Linked DNA regions of Coturnix japonica. The protein of the gene in region 3 interacts with the protein of the main gene of each other region in a biochemical or structural test. Links are inferred from orthologs where the notes say so. Each region holds a gene or a part of one and is shown on either strand. Other genes may lie near its edges.

Region 1 (3,645 bases), on a different chromosome or scaffold from region 3:
TTTATGGAGCACCTCACCTGTGAGTTTGATGTGTCCTTCTTCATCCAGGAGGATGCTACAGCAAGGAAGAAGAAAACAAGTCATTAGTGGCAAGAAAGGCTGGTGAGAACCAGCAGGTGTCCCAGAGCTGGTCAGAGATGCTCCAGAACTCCAGAGGAGGGACTTATCCATCCTTCCAACACCTGTTTAAGCTTTAAGCTCCATCACCGTGAATGGGGGAAAGCAGCCCCCTTCTATACATACTAAACTTCACACTGAACCAATGAGCCACACAGACTACACCAAGTTTGATCCCTCCCATGTCTCAGGTAAGAACAACCCACTCATGCAGCTGCTGTGTGTCTCCTCAGAGGCCTTTTTCCTCCGAAGGCTCTCACTTACTCAAAGCTGGAACTCAGCACTGGCTGACATACTCAGACATGTGGTACACACTTGCTGCTGCCACAGTGCTCCTGGCTCTAACTGCTGGTGTGAGGAGCAAGAGCCTCACTGATCTACCCTGCTGCCTTCCATCTGCTTGGCCCAAGGCATCGTTTCGTGGAATAAGGTTGTGCTGTGCTCTGACTGCAGGCTGAGGACTGAACACAGATCTGTACCACACGTACTTCTCTGGTTTGAGGTCTCTGTATATGATTCCCAGGCTGTGCAAATGGTCAAGTCCTAGAGCGAGCTCTGCAAGGTAGAACTTCACATCCTCCTCTGTGAACATGACCTGCAGGAATGGATGGGGGTTATAATCCTGGAAGCATGACAAGCAACACCCTTCACACCCATGTTGTGCCTTTGTGCCCTTTTAAATCTAAGTTTCTGAGGCTTTGCCAGGAGACATGACATCCTGACATACCCTCCTTTGGGCTAGCAGCAGTTTGGAGGCTCCTTTCAGCTCTCTCAAGGACTTTCTGAGGGTTAGTTGTTCCTCCAGGCAATTAACACACAAACAGAGAGCCTCAGCAACCCACTAAGATGCCACAGTATACCCACCTCTTTGGAAAGCCGAGTGAAAAGGTCACCTCCTCGGAGGAAATCCAAGATGAGATACAGCTTCCCCTCTGTCTGGAATGCTGAAACACAAGCCAGAGCAGGAATCAGACCCCTCCACTGAGGGAAAGCTCGATAGTGTGACATTAATCACTTAAATTCCAATGGCTTCAGTTGTGCAAATGCCCTGCATTATTGCTAGGATTCAAGTAGGGTAACTATTCAAGGTAGATCAGATCTCCTGCCTATGATACTGAAAAGGATGCAATCCCCTGGCAGTGCAGAAAAGCATCATTTTATGTGGGATTTGTTCCTTTTCAGCCATTGATGCCCTGCTGGATGGGCTGTTTCTCAAGCAATACACTGGTCAATTTACTGGGGCAGAAGCTGTCCTCAACTTCCTCAGAGTGAGAGTGTTCATCCTGCCATGCTCTGACTTGAACAGTTAACTCAGCTTTCTCAGTTTCTCCTGAATTAGTGTTTTAATCCCAAGGATTTGACGTTTTAAACCTCCTCTCCTGGTGCCCCACTCAAGGGTGAACACAAGACCAAAGGCCTTTCCAGGAAAGGATTTGTTTTAAGGGGATTGTGAATGCTCCAGCACAGCACAGCCACTGAGAGACATGGACTGACACAGGCTCTGCCACTGCAGGTGCCCAGGACCATGGCAGACACACCTGTCCCAGCCAACCCCGTACTCACCATAGTGCAGCTTCACCACAAAGGGATGGTTTACATCAGCTAGGATGTCCCTTTCTATCTTTGTCCTTACACGATCACGCACTGTGGGAAAAGAGAGGAACAGTTCAGATGCTGGAGAAAGATCAAAGCCGTGATGTCAGCTTCACCCCTAGCCCTAAGCCTTCTGGGATCAGGCAGCTGGAGCCAGATCTTTCCAATCTCCATCAACCCAGGGCCAGCAGTGACTGGTGGTGACCTTTTTGCAGTGCCATTTCCCATGAAGCAATAGGACACAGCAGTAAGGCTCCCTTACCTTTCAGTGTTGCCTTTTTGAGCACTTTCATGGCATAAAGGTGGTTGCTGTCTGGTGGTGTTATTTTCCTCACCAAGAAAACCTGAGGCAGAAGAACACACAAGCTGGTTTTAAACAGCTTCAAAAGTCCTTTATTCATTGCAACAAAGCTGCTGCTGCACATGCACAGCACCCCTGCTGCACCACCCCTTGCTGTGGTGATGGCTGACTGACGTGAAGTTGAAGACAACATGGGAGCAGATGGTCTGCAAAAGACCTAGCTTGTTTGCACTTTGAAACAGATACAAATTACAGGCTATTTCCTTCCTCCTTCACAGAAGGGAAGCAGCAAATAGGCCAAACCCAGTCCCTGGCACACAGCATCACCGTGAGAAGAGAGGCATGCCCCAGCCCTCTGCCCCACACAGCACTGCATGCTTCTTTCCTCCTGACCAGCTGCATAAAGACCTCCGGGTAGAGCTGGCACACTGACGTTGATGAGAAGTGTCTCCGCAGCTGCCCTTCAAACTAGAAGCAGCCAGTTGCTAAGTGAACATATCAGATTCTCACCGGATACGGTCCGGTGAGAATCAGGAAAGAGGTTACGCTGGGGACAGTCCCTTTTTCAGCTCTTCTTTCAACACCACTTATCTGTGTGACACGCAGGAAGAGCTGAGCTCACCTTGCCAAAAGAACCCTGTCCCAGAACCTTCAGAAGCTCAAACTGCGAAGGGTCGGCTTTTTCAAAACCTTCCTTCACATGGTGTGTGATGTTGATTTCCTTCACAACACCCTCACCCTGGAAAAGAGAGGACATGGTTGGCTGTGAATATACTGAACAAGGGGAAAAAGGTCTTATTGAGTCAAAGAGCAAGGTCTACAGCTGCAGACTCACAGGAACCACATCTGACAGAGCCATAAAAGCAGGTGCATGTCGCAGCTACCTCCTGGCTTCAACACCTGGAACAAAGCAGTCCCCAGTGGGTTACCACCAGGCAGCACCATTACATCCCCACACTCTCCCCGGCACCAGAGGTGTTGCGTTCCTTTGAACTGCATTTCAGAAGAGTTCTTGAAAGCACCTTCCTTTTTAAGGCACTGGTGGCAAAAACAGGAGTGTTTATGCCACTAAAAATCCCACAACACAAAAATATGGTGGTGTTGTCAAAACATGGCCAGGGCTGGCAAAAATCAGACATGTTGGAGCCCATCTGCTCAGCAATCTGAGCAACTCTGCAACATAAGCCTTGGTGCATCTTCAGCACATACAGATGATGCTTTTAACAGACTCAAGCCTTCAGAAAGATTGAGGGGAAGCCAAGGTCTCTGGCACATGTTTTGTTTAAAACACATTCTTTTACTAGTTACTAGTTAGATTTTCCCCTTGCCGAGTAGGGGAGAAATTAGTGAGAAAATCAGACTTCGTTTTCTAGAGCTACTCAGATACTCACTGCGGAACCCACCTAATCAAAGCTTTTAGAAAAAAACAGGAACCAAGCTGCAGGCTCTGCCCTGCGCACACTGAGCTCCCACCCTCACTCCTCCTCACACAGCACACGGATGTGGTTGCTGCCTGCAGCACAGCATTGAGCACCCTTCCTTTCCCACTCCTGTGCTTGTCTTTTCTCTAGTAGAGCTTTGCTCCATGTCTGTTGGTAGCTTTGCTCTCTCAAGATCCCATGATATCCAGACAC
Region 2 (3,645 bases), on a different chromosome or scaffold from region 3:
TGTATTCTCGGACCTCCTGGTATGTCAAGTCAGCTTAGAAGGAGAGTACCATATTTACAGTTCAGTTTTGAGAAGAAAGCATTTTTTTTTAATGGACCCTTGAAGACATTCCAAGTAAAAGGCTGTTACAGATTAAGGATATTGAAGGAAATGATCTTACAAATATGGCAAGATCTTTGTCTTAAAATCTATTTGTTTTCATTTAGCTGGAAGAAACTAACAGCACGTTAACCAAAGATGTTGATTTAGTAACAAAAGAAAATACAGAGATCAGTGAAAAAATGAAGAAACAGGAGGAAGGTATGTCATGTTTGGAGTTCTAAATCATCCGGTATGAAGCACAAATGAATGTGAAGTATGTGTGCAAATGAAAATTGGACATTGGAAAAGTATTCCTGTGTGTCTTCCATAGTGGTGGAGTGACTTGATAGAAAATGTGTCATGTTGAAATAGCGTGTGAATTGCCACTCTCTACCATATTTGTTCCATTCCCATTCGCTGCCTTTTTATTGTTGAGAACAATTAAAACCTCAGCTTCAGCAGGCAGGAATAACTGAGCTGCAATAGGAATAAGGGGAAATTAGAATGGTACAGTTTTATGTGATTAAGCTTAGGGATGCTTACTTTGTCCTAAAATCTCAAAGTTGAATCTTACTTTAACAGAATACAAGCTGAAAAAAGAGGAAGAAATAAACAATATTAGAATGCAATATGAGAAGAGTATCAACACTGAGAGAACTCTGAAGACACAGGTATAACTTTTATGTAACTGGATAAAGTTAAAACGATGTTGCATACCAGATATATTTCAGCTTGTTTGGGTTTTTTGTGCAACTAGCTCGTAGTGCTTGAGATTTCTGTTAATTTCATGCTAATCATGATGTGTACTACCTATTCCTGATGTTTAGAGTTTAAGTAAAATTGGTTATGAGTGCTTTTTGCGATTATTACTAGTGTGAGTAACTAACAGCATTTCTGTGGTTTTGGGAAATCAGTACTTTCTAAAGACAGATGGAAATGATTGGTGAAGTTGGAATGGGGCAGGGGTTTGTCTTTTTCAAGCACTTATCACTATTTTGGCTATTTGAATTGGGTGTCAGTGTGAGAAATACGTTAACTGAGGTACATGTTTTAATGTACCCACAGGGGTATGTTTTCAGTTTTGGAATTAATTGCAATGATTTATTGAAGTGCACCTCTCCCAGTCTGTTCTTAGATCATGAGGACTTGCACATCCTCCAGCTAGATAAGCTTGGAAGCTTTATGTGATACTTGCTCTCGTGTGTTACTTTTCTGACTTATCTTCTTCTTCTCTTTCTTATAACAGGCTGTCAACAAACTGGCTGAGATAATGAATAGAAAAGATTTTAAAATAGATAGAAAGAAAGCAAGCATGCAGGATTTGAGGAAGAAAGAGAAGGAAAACCGAAAGCTACAACTGGAGCTTAATCAAGAAAAAGAGAAATACAATCAGATGGTGGTGAAATACCAGAAGGAGGTTAATGAGATGCAAGCGGTAAAAAAACCTTCATTTTTGTTACATTATGAAGTTCTCTGCCCCGGGAAAACATGCAGCTCCTTGTGCACTTGTGTAAAGGAGTTCTGTTGCTGATGTATCAGACTGCAGAATTTTAGTGCAGCTGTGTTTGTTCTCATTCATTTCCCCATTCTCAGTTGGTAACTGTGAATGTGATGATTGGTACATTATGAAAGCTGAATATTGTGTAATACAGTATTCTTATGGTTTTTCTCTGGAAGATTAAATTTGTTGGTGAAAGTTCTATTAACATTTTCTGTTTCAACACATTGCTGTATCTTTGATCACAAACTTCTTTCCTAGACTTTAGGAACACTTTTACAATAATAATTTATGTCAATGCTATCAAAAGTGTTGAGAGATTTTCATGAAAAAAGAACTAGTAAGGTGTTGTTTTTAAATACTTTGTTCCCTTATTTCTGATACCATGGTGACATTGTATGTGTATACAAATACAGCAACTAGCAGAAGAGTCAACATACAGGAATGAGCTACAGATGCAGCTGGATAGTAAAGAGAGTGACATAGAACAACTACGAAGGAAAATTTTGGATCTCCAGCAAGGAATGGATTCTAGCAGCGTTTCTAGTCTACAGCCAGATGAAATCGATGGAAATCTTTCAGGTAAGAGGAAAGCGTATTTGAAGTAGGTGTGTCTGTGCATATGTGTAGTTTTGGAAGGTCCAGTCTTCCAGTCTTTCAAATAGGTCACTACCTTCTTGAGAATACCATCCTACTGTCTTTCCATGTCACATTTCTACTTCTATTTTTAAGTGTATTTTTCAGTTTCATGGTTCAGCATCTCATACTTAGTCTCCTAATTCCTTCTTGCATCAAACCTCTGCTTTATGGCACAGTACTACTATAAATTTCCATTTTTGTGGAAGGAATATCTTTATAGCTGTCACTGCTGGTGTTTGAGTGTAATAACTACAGTTTGCAGTGTAGAGTGAATCCAGTAGAGGGCCAGCATATTTCCATGATGTCTTGATTGCATTTTATATCTTGAATGCAAACTTGCCTTGATCTTGCTTTTAGTCATAGTAATGTAGCATTTTTATGAAAAGCAGCAGCAGTTGTCTGTGTGGAAGGAAAAACCTCACCAAACTGTCAAAATGTCTATAATGCATACCAGAGTGTGGTATTCTGACAGGAAAGAAGAATACCAAATATAAGCTGGTAATTCCCATAGAGTTTCAGCTGCATACGTTGTATTTGGAGGCCCACTGATAACACCAGTTAGTGATTTCCCACCCCTCATTATTTGCAGCGTATAATCAGTATGTTCATGTTTCTATATCCCTAGATAGGAATAGTAAGCACCTTCTTCACCATTTTCAGCAAAATGACTGTTTTGTAATATGCTGGAAAAAATAAACCCTCGTCGCTTGCCTCCATCTGGTAACATCTTCCCTGTTTCCTTAAAATTAATATTAAGTCAGTGTGACACCGTCTGCTAGATCTGGGAAAGTTTATAGGTAGGAGTATGATCCTTCTTTGTGTGCCTCATATGGTGCATTGTTTCCAGTTTTCCTTTTGTAGTTGTAAATTTTTAAGCTTCTGTTTGTCCAAAATGTCACTTTGATTTTGGGGGCAGAAATTTACTAAGCCATGGCAAATCAATCAGCTATAACTCTATCACTGTTAATTAAAATATCATAATTACTGGAACTTCTTACAGTCTTTCCCTTTGTCTTCTGTACTCCTGACCTCTTTATTTCTACTTTACCAACCTTTCATTTCCCTTCATTTTTTGCCCTCTTCTTTCCACATGCCTCTTACTTTTACTGCAGTTGTACATCTGATGTTAGTATTTCATACAGGTAGGACCTCTAATATATATTACAAGGACATTCCATGTGTGTTTCTAAAATGTGTTTTGATTTTGTTCTTAGAATGTGTTGGTGTTTGTTTGTTTGATTGAGGCTCTCAATTGATCAGTATCTAAATGAGAAGCAATTCTGGTGATTTGAGATTTTGGTGTTAGTATGATCATACTTCACACTTTTGTTAGTCAAGCAGAGAGCACAGGAGGATGACACTATCATTCTAATAAGGAAAAGAAAGCCAGTCTTTAAAGTGTACATACCCTATGCCATAAAAGAGGA
Region 3 (4,338 bases):
CGGACTCCGCGCTCCCGCCGCGTGTGGAGAGTGGGGCTGAGGGCGTGGCCGCGCCGCGATTGGCTCCCACCGCGGAAAGGGCGGGCTCGCTCCCTCCGACGGAGCACGGCGATTGGCTCGTATCCGTGAGGGAGGCGGAGCGCCGATTGGCCTGCGGCGAGGAAGGGGGCGGGGCCTCCCCCGGGGCGTGGCGCGGCGCCGAGCGGCTGCTGGCGGGACGGCGGGACGGCGGCGGGAACGCGGCCCAGGTGCGGCGCGGCCGTGACGTCACGGGACAGCGGCCATGGCGGGGCCGGCAGGTGAGAGACGCGGGGCGGGCGGGGCGCTGCTGGATGTATTGGGTGTACCGGGTGTGCTGGGCGCTGCGCATCGCTCGGGGCCTGCGGCGGAACGCGCCGCTTCCTGCCCTGACTGCCGGGCGGAGCTGCGGGGTCGGGCCCCGAGATACCGGCTGCGGCGCTGCGGGATTCTGGGCCCTCCGCGTCCTTGAGCCGCTCCGTGCGCCGGTCTCTGCCCGCTGCTCGCAGTCACTGAGCGCTGCCCTGTCCCGCTGAGCGCGGAGCCCCGTGGCTGTGCCTGATCCCCGCAGGCAGCAGCACGCTCTGAACTTAAAGCATCGCACTTACAGGCTGTGGGTGAGGGCAGCATCGTGCTCACGGACAGGCGTCCCTCGTAGCGCTGAGCTCTCCATCCTCTGCAGCTTCCCCCCCCGGCAGCAGGCAGCTGCTGTAGCGCAGTGATGGCAGGGCAGTGAGGGCAGCTCCCTTCGGTGGGAGCAGTTATTTGGTCCATGTAAGAGCTACCTGACATTTCAGGGTGAAGCTGCAGAGAAAAGCCTCAGACAGAAGGGGCAATTACTGAGCAACTGCTGGGTTTTAACGCTCTTTAGAAACTGTAAGTCTGTGGTTAGTGGTTTTCCTTCTCTAAGCGCGTTTCTTTCCTTACACATCTCTCTTGCAGCCAGCTTGCAGTAGCAGAAGGAAGCAGATCAGTGCCCAGCAGCACGACATGTCCTTTGTGCCATCCTGCGCTCATCCACATCCTCGGCTTTCTCTTAGATGTGCCCAAACAGCAGCTTGGCTCTCAGATAGCATTTCTCTGTGCCAAATTAGTGCTAGATTCTTTGTACTGTTTTTTTCTTTCCCAGTCTTTATGCATCCTGCCCGTTTCTGGGGCTTTAGGACTTCTTGACCATTGCTGGCATTTTCTGAAGGCACAGCAGGCAGTGGCAGCTGCTCCTCTTGCTAAGCCTGGCTGCAGTGCAGTGCTGGTCATACAGACTCTGCAGGAATATCCTTCTGAGTGTGTAATTCCTTCCTGGTGGCCAAGTTGTTCTCTGCTGAATAAGGTTTGTCTTTCTTCCTGTTCTGGGAAATCCATTTAATCACCCAAAAGTGCACAAATGTTATGTGCTGAGTCAGTGGCAGGAGGGGAATGGTAACGTGGCTTCCTGGCACAGCGTGGCTCCCTGTAGGGATTGTCACACTTGGCCCATCTCCACCTGAAATCTCTGCTCTGAGCAGTGGTGCAGCTCTAACGGTGCCATCTCCTGTGAAAGGTAACCTTGTTTTCTCCTGCAGAATGTGAAGGAGCACATGATGGTGTCAGGTCTGGAGGGAAAAAAACAGGGGTTTAGGATATTAGAGTCCAATTTGGGAACTCTAAACATTGGCGCTTATGGTCTGCCTGGTGTAATTCAGGGCTGTTCTTTATCAGGCATGGAGCAATCCTTGTTTTCTTTGATGTAAAACGGTTGTTGATGTGGCCTTATTCCTGTATACAGGTGAAGAAGTCTGGAGATGCCTGGGATGTGGGGACCTCATTGCTGCTGGTCAGCGCCTCTACAGGACAGTTAATGAAGCTTGGCACGTTTCCTGTTTCCAGTAGGTGCAACTTTACAGCCAATTGTACTCTTGGAGGATGGTGGATGCAGTACTGACAGTAACAGGGGCTGGTCTTGAGGCCATACCCTGCTGTCAGCTCTATGTCTGACCTGCTCTGCAGCCCGTGGCAGAGGCAGTGTGCTGCCGGTCATTGCCGTGCTTCAATACCCACAGCAGCCCTTTGGAACTGACCTTCAGTTCTGGCAGCAGTCTGGTGCTGCCTGGCCAGGAGCTGACACACACACGTATGGGAATACAGATAAAGTATAAATGGAGGCTCTGATTTGCTGGTGGTAGCAGAAGCCGCAGGTTGTGTCTTTGTCTGCACTAGCATTCAGAGGTACAACCCAGGCCACCTGAGCTCCTGTCGCTGTTTCCATATATATTGCAGGAGCAATATCAGGGTGTTGGGAAAGCTGCTGATCTGGCAGAGGGGGCTCTTGCCTTTTTCACAAATACTCATTCTAGTTTTCGTGCTCCAGAATTGCATTTCTGAAAGGAGCAGGAGCTTCTGCTGGCTTCTGGGTACGAGTGACTATGTCATGAATGTGCAGAGGTTAATGTGTTGGACCCTGTTAAAGCAAATAGAGGGTAAAAGAAGGCAAAGTGCGGCTTTGGAGGAATGTTTGCTGTGCTGAGACAGGCATCTGTCCCATTGTGTTTAATTTATTACTACAAAAAGACTTTGTTGAATTATTATGCTTCTTGGTGTATATATATATATATATATATATATATATATATATATATATATATATATATATATATGTAAAGCAAAGCATAGCAGGCTGCCAAAGCAATGTTAGCTCTATTGATTTGGAAAGCGTTGTTTGTTAGAATGCCTTGTTAATCACAGCTACTGCTCCATGTTGCTGCAAATCCGACTCTTTCTGCTTTCTGTTGGTCCGAGTGTTCATGTTCAGCTGTGTTGTGTCAGTTTCTCTAAGCCCTGTTTTTCTCTTCTCTCTTCCAAGCTGGAGTCCTGCTGTGGAGCTTCTCAACATTCTCCCAGTTAGCCAAACTCTAATTTGTGTGTGCAAGTCTTTCTTCTATGCCTCCTCTTGTACTATTTCTGATGCGAGTCCTGATTTGTAAATGCCTGGGTGCTTCTTGTAGAGGTGAATGACAGCTGAGCTGCAGGCAAACCACCCTTAGTGGCACCAGAGAATTTTATGCTGTAGTTTATATTGTAGAACAGAAGTCTTTTGTTTTTTTCTTCCTTTAGGTTTTCCTATTTACCTGCAATAGAAAGGCAGGTAATGGCTTTTCTCCTCAGATGTACAGTAACTTGCTGATGCTCTTCTCTTATGCTCATTACTTTTGGCTAGCTCTGCTGCCCAGCTTCGAGGCCGTGCTGAGTGAACAATTGGAACCTGCAGCAAAGGAAGCTGCCCTTCCCTTTTTCCCCGTTCCAGGCTAGCATTGCTCATGCAAACAGAGTTTGCGCTCTGCTCTCCTTTCTTTTCTGTTATCCCCAAACCATGCTGGGCAGCAGTCTTGTGCTCGATATCCCAAAGCCAAGTTTTAAAAAGCCTCTAATGGTAGGAGCCTTTGGCAGCCTGTAGCTGTGAGTTCCGGCAGCTCTTGTGGAGTGTTTTTTACAGTCTTCCTGTGGATTAGCTGCGTCTCTGGCCTGGCACATGATTTCTCTAATGCTGATTGGCATTGATCCAGTCTTGTTAGCTCTGTTAAGCTTGTTAGCTTGGTCAGGCGAGGCTGCTGATCATGCTTGGCACTGGTGGTAGCTGACGTACGTGCATGTCTCTGAGGATTTAAGTTTTTTGTCACTTCCCTCCTTCCTCAAGCTGCATGTACAGGAGCTTTGACCCTGAAACCCATGTTTTCTCTGATGTGACTTGGAGGGAAAAGCAAATCCCTATTCATATATCTTGGATATTTTACACTGTTCTTTGGCTAGCTGATCCTTAGGCTTGAATCTGTTGGGTTAGAGCTGGCTGTGGAGTCTTCTTTTAGATGTTTCTGACATAATCTCTGTTGTGAATTAACTCTGAATGTGCTTTTTTTTGCCTCTGAGATCTGTTGAGTTAGGATCCATTTCAATGGTCTTTTTTTTTTTTTAACTGATAAGTGGCTTCCCTGGATTTGGAGCATATATTGCACAGACTTAGCAAAGGAAATACAGAGGTGGCATGCTGCCTTTTTCCTAGATTTGGATCGCTTTTACCAGAGGGAATTATTGGAAGAAGAATGTGTTTGTCTCTTACTACCTATACCATGCTGTTCTTTTAGCTTTCAGTCCATTTTGTCCATATTACAAAACAGAAGGTGCTGCCTTATATGCTGTTTTGATGTCCGTTGTTTTGTTGATTCTCCCTCCCCACAGATAAAGACAGCATTAAAACAATTCCCTCTTTTTATAGGGATGTTGCACATTTACACACCTGAGGGATGGGATCCAGAGAGATGTAGGCAGGTTGAGCAGTGGGCTCATGTG

The links.
Region 1: the proteins of LIMK2 (region 3) and RPS6KA1 interact in a test that uses a peptide from one of them, tested with the Homo sapiens proteins (2 studies listed by BioGRID and IntAct). The link is inferred for Coturnix japonica from reciprocal best matches to the Homo sapiens genes LIMK2 and RPS6KA1.
Region 2: of the proteins of LIMK2 (region 3) and ROCK1, one has a biochemical effect on the other in vitro, tested with the Homo sapiens proteins (2 studies listed by BioGRID). The link is inferred for Coturnix japonica from reciprocal best matches to the Homo sapiens genes LIMK2 and ROCK1.

The regions. Positions count from the first base shown.
Region 1 is NC_029538.1:152,404-156,048, forward strand, and holds part of RPS6KA1 (ribosomal protein S6 kinase alpha-1), read right to left. Parts: intron 2,751-3,645; coding exon 2,634-2,750; intron 2,055-2,633; coding exon 1,973-2,054; intron 1,762-1,972; coding exon 1,681-1,761; intron 1,062-1,680; coding exon 982-1,061; intron 713-981; coding exon 606-712; intron 56-605; coding exon 18-55; intron 1-17. UniProt on the Homo sapiens protein: Serine/threonine-protein kinase that acts downstream of ERK (MAPK1/ERK2 and MAPK3/ERK1) signaling and mediates mitogenic and stress-induced activation of the transcription factors CREB1, ETV1/ER81 and NR4A1/NUR77, regulates translation through RPS6 and EIF4B phosphorylation, and mediates cellular proliferation, survival, and differentiation by modulating mTOR signaling and repressing pro-apoptotic function of BAD and DAPK1.
Region 2 is NC_029517.1:92,202,629-92,206,273, reverse strand, and holds part of ROCK1 (rho-associated protein kinase 1), read left to right. Parts: intron 1-206; coding exon 207-300; intron 301-663; coding exon 664-752; intron 753-1,327; coding exon 1,328-1,516; intron 1,517-1,995; coding exon 1,996-2,161; intron 2,162-3,330; coding exon of another isoform or gene 3,331-3,461; exon of another isoform or gene 3,462-3,645. UniProt on the Homo sapiens protein: Protein kinase which is a key regulator of the actin cytoskeleton and cell polarity.
Region 3 is NC_029530.1:8,042,305-8,046,642, reverse strand, and holds the start of LIMK2 (LIM domain kinase 2), read left to right. Parts: upstream 1-1,412; 5' UTR 1,413-1,434; coding exon 1,435-1,558; intron 1,559-1,783; coding exon 1,784-1,883; intron 1,884-4,338. UniProt on the Homo sapiens protein: Serine/threonine-protein kinase that plays an essential role in the regulation of actin filament dynamics. Acts downstream of several Rho family GTPase signal transduction pathways.